Sus scrofa: one gene and its partner. The protein of the gene in region 2 purifies or fractionates together with the protein of the main gene of each other region. This does not show direct contact. Links are inferred from orthologs where the notes say so. Each region holds a gene or a part of one and is shown on either strand. Other genes may lie near its edges. The genes, in order: ANAPC7 and ANAPC13.

Region 1 (3,812 bases), on a different chromosome or scaffold from region 2:
ATTCACTGTGAATCTAAAAATAGAATTAAACATGGATTATCTGGGCTCTACCCCAAGTCATGCATTGTTCATCCCTTTTATACAAACAGCTCAAAATCTAAAGTTTTTTATAATTTTACGGCAAGTACACTTTTTTTTTTTTTTTAAATCTTTTTAGGGCCCCAGCAGTGGTATATGGATATTCCCAGGCTAGGGATCAAATTGGAGATGTAGATGCCAGCCTACATCACAGCCATAGCAACTTGAGATCCATGCCATATCTGTGACCTATGCCACAGCTCACGGCAACACCGGATCCTTAGCCCACTGAACAAGGCTGGGGATTGAATCTGCATCCTCATGGATGCTAGTCGGGTTTGTTAACCACTGAGCCACGATGGGAACTCCAATACTCTTTTTGTTTAAAGGGGATAGATTATAGGTACGTCCTGGTATATGCCTAAAATCTGTATGGGTAATAGACATGAAAAATTTTGTGTGTGTGTATGAAGGAAATAAATTAAATAGAATCTTTAGGGAGAGGGAAATTTTTACTTTTCTATTTGAACCTGTCTTTAAATTATACATGCAACTTGGAGTTCCTGTCATAGTTCAGCGGAAAAGAATCTGACTAGGAACCGTAAGGTTGCAGGTTTGATCCCTGACCTCACTCAGTGAGTTAAGAATCTGGTGTTGCCGTGAGCTGTGCTGTAGGTCACAGACGAGGCTCAGATCCCGTGTTGCTGTGGCTGTGGTGTAGGCTGTGGTACAGGCCAGCAGCAACAGCTCCAATTCGACCCCTAACCTGGGAACCTTCATATGCCGCAGGTGTGGCCCTAAAAAGACAAAAGACCAAAAAAAAAAAAAAATTATACGTGCAACTTATATTTAAGAGGAATGTCAGTAGAATGAACTGAGAGTGAAATTATAAGTCATGTTCTATATTTTTTCACATTAAAAAAGATAAAAATTAATGGTTTTTTTTTTTTTTTTTTTTTTTTTTTTCCCCTTTTTAGGCCTGCATCTGGTATGTGGAAGTTCCCAGGCTAGGGTTGAATTGGCGCTTCAGCCGCAACCTACACACAGCAGCTTGCGGCAATACCAGATCCTTAACCCACTGAGTGAGGCCGGAGATCCTGCATCCTCATGGATACTAGTTGAGTTCTTAACCCAGTGAGCCGCAATAGGAACTCGGGTTTTTTTTGTTTGTTTTTGTTTTTTTGTCTTTTTTAAGCCCTTAGATCTTTATCTTGTTTTATTTCTCTTTAAGTAGAACCTTCATTTTTGTTATTGAAGAGCCATTTGCCAGTTTGTCTGTCGTGGTTCTTTTTAGGGCCACACCTATGGCATATGAGATTCCCAGGCTAGGGATCGAATTGGAACTGTAGCCACTGGCCTACACCACAGCCTCAGTAACACCAGATCCTAGCCACGTCAGCGACCTATAGCACAGCTCACAGCAATGCCAGATCGTTAACCGACTGATTGAGGCTGGGGATCGAACTTGTGTCCCCATGTATGCTAGTCAAAGATTTGTTTCCACTGAGCCAGGACAGGAACTCCTCTGTTTTCTTTTTTTCGGCTTTTCTAGGGCTGCGCCCACGGCATATGGAGGTACCCAGACTAGGGGCCTAATGGCAGCTGTAGCTGCCAGCCCACGCCACAGCCTCAGCAACTTGGGATCCAAGCAGCGTCTGCGACCTACACCACAGATCACAGCAATGCCAGATCTTTAACCCACTGAGTGAGGCCAGGGATCGAATCCGAAACCTCATGGTTCCTAGTCGGATTCGTTAACCACTGCTCCACGATGGGAACTCCAGGAGCTCCTCTGTTTTCTGACATTGAATGGAAGTCATGTGTATTATCCACATAGGATTAATCTTAGAAGTAGTTAAATGCTTGAGCATTCAGTACCCCAAGCACCATGCTAAACCTGTCTTGTAAATTAAATATATTCTTCAAGGAATTTTTTAAAAAATTGAGATGCAGTTCACAACATAAAATTTACAATTCAGTGAATTTTAGTATATTCACAAAATTGTACAACCATTACCACTGTTTTAATTCCAGAACTTTGTTATTACTCTTTAAAAACCTTGTGCTCATTATCTTCCCAGGCCCTGGGAATCACTGACCTTTCTGCCTCTGTAGATTTATCTATCCTGGACACTTCATATGAATGGAATTTTACAGTATGTGGCCTTTTGTGGCCAATTTCTTTTATTTAGCATATTTTCAAGGTTGATCCATGTTACAGCACAGAATAAAGAACCAGTTCTTTATTCCTTTTTATTGCAAAGTAATATTCCATTGTATGGATAGGCCATATTTTAACAATTAATGGGCATTTGGGTTGTTTCCACTCTTTGTCAGTTAATGCTGCTGTGAACATTAGTGTGCAGGTTTTTTGTGGACATATATTTTCTGGTCTCTTGGCTATATACATGGAAGCAGAGTTGCTGGGTCCTGTGGTAACTGTTTAACGTTTGAAGAATTGCCATGCTGTTGAAGTGATATTTTGAAGAAATGTTTCATTTCCTCTTAGTGTCTTCCATCTGAAATTGAGGTAAAATACAAAATGGCTGAATGTTATACAATGCTAAAACAAGATAAAGATGCCATTGCAATACTTGATGGGATCCCTTCAAGACAGAGAACTCCAAAAGTAAGTTGAATTAACAGTTTGTTACACATTTTTCTCTTCTCTGGAGTTCTTCCAGCCCTCTTCCTCCATGTTTTCTCTGTGCATTAAGAAGTCCATCTGAACATTTTTATCCTCATTTCTAGTTCTCACTTGGTTATTCTGTTCTCCCTGTTCAGAGAGATAGAAGAGTGACTTTCTTACAAGACCATGAAAATTCAGCTGATGGAAATGGTAGCTGGAGAATACTATAAGTGTTTATTCTTCAGTGTATCTTATTGTAGGAAATATGATTTGCAGTGTTATTTCTAGTTACCAATAATACTTTCTTAGGACCTCATTTTGTGCATTCTTTAGCTATACCCATTTGATTAATGTGTATTAATCTGTTCATTTTCAGAACTAAGACTACAAGATCCTGTTGTACTTATTTGTGTGAGGGATGGTATTGTATTTGATTTGGCAACATATTGTAGTGTATAGAATGCCTTTAACTGATCTGGTATCTTGTCTGAGTTTAGGGCATAAAAGCTGGGCAAGTTACCAGACTGGCTTTCCTTTTTTTCCCTTACTTATAAAATGAAGATACTGATACTTTCTCTGGTACAAATTAAGTTCATGTATGTGAGAATACTTTTCTTAAAGTACTGTTCTAGGAGTTCCCGTCGTGGCTCAGTGGTTGACGAATCCGACTGGGAACCATGAGGTTGCGGGTTTGATCCCTGGCCTTGCTCAGTGGGTCAAGGGTCTGGCGTCGCCATCAGCTGTGGTGTAAGTCGCAGATGCGGCTCGGATCCCTTGTTGCTGTAGCTCTGGTGTAGGCTGGTGGCTACAGCTCTGATTGGACCCCTAGTCTGGGAACCTCCATGTGCCACAGGAGCGGCCCTAGAAAAGGCAAAAAGACAAAACACAAACTTTAAAGTACTATTCTGTAAGGAGTATTATATTGGGCATCTCTTTTTTTTTTTTTTTTTTTTTTGGTCTTTTTAGGTCTGTGGCATATGGAAGTTCCCAGGCTAGAGGTCCAATTGGAGCTGTGGCTGTTGGCCTATGCCATCTGTGACCTATGCTGCAGGTTGCAGCAGTGCCGGATCCTTAACCCACTGAGCAAGGCCAGGTGTCAAACTCGCATCCTCATGGATACTAGTCAGGTTTGTTACTGCTGAGACCCCTATATTGGGCATCTTTG
Region 2 (4,483 bases):
AGGACCGGCCATGTGACCTCTTGGTGTAGGCACCACAAAGCCTTGCAGCTTCCTCATGCTGCTCTTAGAACCTAAGATGACTATGTGAAGGCTGGACCAGTCTCCTGGGTAACGGCTTCGTCAACTCATCATCCCAGCTGACAGCCTGCTAACTGCCAGACATGTCAAAGTGTCCTGAGTGACACAGCCTCCAGCCAACCCGCCAGCCGACTACAAAACACCACCAAGTCCAGCAGGGATCAACCAAGCTGGCAAATATCAGGAGACTCTCTCAGCTGAGTGTCACAATCAGGACATAAACAGCAGTTGTTTTAAGGCACTATGTTTTGGGGTTATTTGTTAGGCAGCAGCAAAAGCTAACTAACACAAACATTGCCTTAGAACTGCAGGCCCTGGGAAAAGACATGGATTAGCAATACGGCCCGGCTACAACCTGGAAGTCGGCATTGAAATTTCCTTCTCCCTCAACCCTTTCTACATAAATGGTCCTGAAATTCTGCTGTTAGCATGTCCAGAATTCAGCAACTCCCTCCACTTTCCTGCTTTTGTTTAGGCCCTTTCTTCCTTGTCTAGACGTTATAATAGCATCCGAACTGGTCTCTGCCCTGTCACTGAACCCTTTCTCCACAACAGACATTCTTTAACAATGCTAAGCTGATCTTCTAATCTATGTGAGTGAGAAGGCAGATTTCCACTTTGAAGACCACTCACTCCTGCATATCCTTAAGATGAGGGCTAAGCATGGCATCCAATGCTCCTCTCAGAATTGGGTCCAACACCAACTTTTCTTACCACATTTGATGACGAGTATACCCTCCATCCACACGGAGGTTTCACCATCTCCCAAAGCCTTTCAAAACTCTAAGCCTTTGCACATTTGTCCCCTTTACTGGAGGGCCCTTGTTTACCCACTAAACCTCTGGTCCTTCCTCGTGACCAGCTTAAATGTGATTTTTTTTCGCTGAGGCCCTTCCTGATGTCTACTGCCTGGCTGTAGCTGTTTATCACCCCCCACTAAGAGCACCTACTATTAAAATTACTTATTATGTTGCATCTCTAGGCCCTGAGGGGCAGAAACTATACTTATGTTTACCCAGTCTTACGGCACACAGTAGGCTTCAAAGAGTTGCTTGTGGAATGAAGATACCAAAAAAGTCCACAGAACAGGATCTGGAGTCTCAGAGACTTAGATGTCAAGTCCAACCTATCAGCTACCAGCCTTTGGGCAAATTCCTCTCTTTGATCCTATATCCTTCCTGTACATTGAGGGTAACACCACCACCCCGAAGTTTAAGCATCAGGGATAATATACGTCAGACTTCGATCTTGGTCCATGGCACAAAACAGGTATTTGATAAGTGGAGCTATAGTTCTTGTATGCGCTTTTGACTATTTTTCTAAACTTGAACTAAGTTATGTGTTATGTGTATTATTCATTGAACATATTACCCGCCCCCCCCTTTTGCCATGCCTTAAGCATGCATAAGTTCCTGGACTAGGGACTGAACTCATGCCATAGTAATGACCAGAGCCACAGCAATGATGGATCCTTCACCTGCTAGGCCACCAGGGAACTCTGTTATCACTTATTCTTAAATGAAATGTCAATGGCAGCAGCAGTCCGCCTGCAAGCTGTCTTCTATTACCAGCTCTTCCTAGGAAAGTTGGTAGGCTCTAAAGGAAAACTCCCTGTTCTCCTTGTTAGGCCTTGGTAACATAAATACAAATTTTAATAAGCCCTCATTCAAAAAAAAAAAAAAAGTTTAGATAACTTATAACACGAGATTTAACAAACTCCTTGCAGAATTTTCCAAAGATCAGGAAACAAGAGAGCTCGATGGTCTAAATGCAAAAAAAAGAAAAGCCAGGTGTCTTCTGAGTATTTTCCAGGGAACCTAGGATAGGTGTGTGTTTCAAAAATGTGAGTGTCTAAAAATGTCAACTGATAAACCCACCTGTGGTGTGGCAGACAGAACATGGCTCAGAAGACCTGGGCTCTAGTTCTGGCATGACCCCTAACTGAGCTGGTCACATCAGTTCTCTGAAACACATTTCTCTTCAAATAAAAAAAAAACAAGATAATTGTTCTTCAGAGGATTCTAGAGTTAGAGGACTCTACAGCACTGATTTCTTTGCTTTACTAGTTTATGTGCCCATTGATATCCTACTTCTACTATATCAGACCTTTAACCCATCACCTCAGAATAAGCAGGGGCCTACCAGTGGTATTGCAACATCTTCATAAGGCAGCTTGTCCTCTCGCCAAGCATCGTCAATCAAATCCAAGATCCTTCCATCTCTCTGTACCTCACTGTCCATTTTCCTGCAGCTTTGCTCTTGCCAGATCTGAAAGCCAAAGAGGTTATTTCTTAAGCATGAGGAGATGATGTAATCTAGCACTAGGGGTTCTCCAAGCTTTTTAGCCTGGATGTGTCTTTTGGCATGATATCACTTTGGGAAAGACTCATCTCATCCGGGTCAGGTTATTTACAAGATCACAGTCCCTTCCAGCTGATTTTCCCAGTCACACACAGATCCCACCTTTCTGTAAGGGTTTCTCAGATCACTCCAGCTTCAGCCCACATCCTGCCCTTGATCTACCTTTTGTCCTTATGATCTACTAACCAAGTCAGGTCGACTTTGTGACCAACTGCTCAGGTATTACTGCTTCCAATTGCTGTGTGTAGTAAAATTTTTTGTCAGTGACTCAGCACATCTTTCCTCAATTTGGCCTCAATCTTTTTTCACCTGTCCCTCTTCCGAACACCTCTAACTCTGTTATCCTTTCCAGCCTTTGCACTCAAAGTTCTTTACCCCATCACTAACACACCCATTTTTCCTTCCAAACTCAAAGCTGGCGTCAGCTCATCAGAACCAACATGCCATTTCCAGAGTTAGGCGCTAAGGTGCCTTCTCTCTTCAGGGGCTGGAAAAAAGGAAAGCACAAGACGGGCAAAGAGGGGCAATGACCAGGAAATGACTACGTCTCAAACACTTGCCTCACTCAACAGAATGAAGCATTACCACTTTCCTGAACAAAGTTTTCTTACACATACGACTGTCCCAATGCCTGGAATGCTCTGTCTTCTTCCTTTTTTCCCCAGCTAACCCCAAACTGTCCAAAAAATTTAGCTCCCAGGTCGTCTTCTGCAGGAGTCGTTCTCTAAGAGCCAGAAGAGCGCAGTCCCCGCCCCTCCGCGGGTCCCATAGTTCTCTGGGCACAGAGAATGATCCCCATCAGGATCTTGGTATATTGCCTGTCACACGGTCTTTCCAGACACGAGACGCCTGCGTTTCCCGGGGGGAGGGCAGTTTTATTCATCTCTGCTTTAGAGCTCTGTGAAACATGCAGTTACATGAGCAAAACTGGGACGCCTTTTCCCTCGCTAGAAATGACCCTCTCGGGCCACCACCGTCCATACAGGCCTGGGAGGCCGCCCCACAGCCACGGCTTCCGGCCCGAGGCGGGATATACCAAATGCGGAAGCGAGGGGGGGGGGTCCGGACAGCCAAGCAAGTTCCCCTCCTCCCCGCCCAACGTGTGGTAAGAGAAGTGGTTAGGAGGGAGAGGATGATGTGAAAACAACGACCTAAGCCAAGAGAAACGGCAGGAGTCCGAACGCGCTCCCGTATCTCCAGACCCTACATTACGTGCGCGCAAACCCTTTTACCAGCCCCAAACCCAGCGTGTCACACACCCCCGCCGACCGCGCCCTCAGCATCACGTGACCCAGACGTCCTTCACTTTCCGATCCCCGGATGTGGGTGAGCCCATTTGCCGGAGCACAGGGGGAGTTAGGGAGGACATTGTTTTAATTAAAAGTGAAGGAGCAGTGGGCAAAACGAACGTGCTGACTGCTGTGGCTGGACGTCAGGTTGGCGGTGCCGCGCGTGCGCACCCCCAGCCGTAGGTAACGGCGGGAAGGCTCGGGGAGCGCTCGCGGCAGCCCTTAACCGCATTGCGAACGTCGGACGGGCGAGGGGCGGCCGTCTCTGGGCCTGGAGGTAGCCCTGGCTGCGGTGGGGCCGCGGGCCGAGCGGCCGAATGGCCTGGGGCCTGCTTCCTCAGCCGCCCGCTGGCCTCCAGGCCCGCCCCCGCCGGCCCGGCTCCGCCCCGGCGCCCCGCCCCCCGGCCTTTTCGCTGACGCCCGGCTGACCCGCGAAGCCGGATATGGCCTCCCTCGGCGTGCGGTCCCGGCCAGCCAGGTGGTCAGCTCTTACCTAGAGACCGGGCCGGCGGGAGGGCGGCGGGGTGGGCGAGCTGCTCGTCTTCCCGGAGCGGAGTTAGCCGCGGGCCACTCTTCCACTTCAGGGGAGGGATCCTCGGCAAGGCCCTCTCGCCTGGGCTGCCTCATCTGGTTAGCTTCTTAGCATTGTTGCGACTTAGGTCATTGATGGCAGGTGATAGCGGTTCATTCACGGGTGGGAAGTTTAGCAAGTTTTAAAAAGTGAGTTGGTTAAAAACGTATTGGAGGTACAGAAA

What was found.
Region 1: the proteins of ANAPC13 (region 2) and ANAPC7 purify together in Homo sapiens (affinity purification with mass spectrometry; 3 studies listed by BioGRID and IntAct, counting the BioPlex papers as one, with this or other methods). This does not show direct contact. The link is inferred for Sus scrofa from reciprocal best matches to the Homo sapiens genes ANAPC13 and ANAPC7.

Annotation. Positions count from the first base shown.
Region 1 is NC_010456.5:31,779,533-31,783,344, reverse strand, and holds part of ANAPC7 (anaphase-promoting complex subunit 7), read left to right. Parts: intron 1-2,527; coding exon 2,528-2,647; intron 2,648-3,812. UniProt on the Homo sapiens protein: Component of the anaphase promoting complex/cyclosome (APC/C), a cell cycle-regulated E3 ubiquitin ligase that controls progression through mitosis and the G1 phase of the cell cycle.
Region 2 is NC_010455.5:75,601,942-75,606,424, forward strand, and holds the start of ANAPC13 (anaphase-promoting complex subunit 13), read right to left. Parts: upstream 3,075-4,483; 5' UTR 3,051-3,074; exon of another isoform or gene 3,000-3,050; intron 2,678-2,999; exon of another isoform or gene 2,626-2,677; intron 2,347-2,625; 5' UTR 2,320-2,346; coding exon 2,221-2,319; intron 1-2,220. Other genes in the region: CEP63 (centrosomal protein of 63 kDa), read left to right, coding at 4,172-4,206. UniProt on the Homo sapiens protein: Component of the anaphase promoting complex/cyclosome (APC/C), a cell cycle-regulated E3 ubiquitin ligase that controls progression through mitosis and the G1 phase of the cell cycle.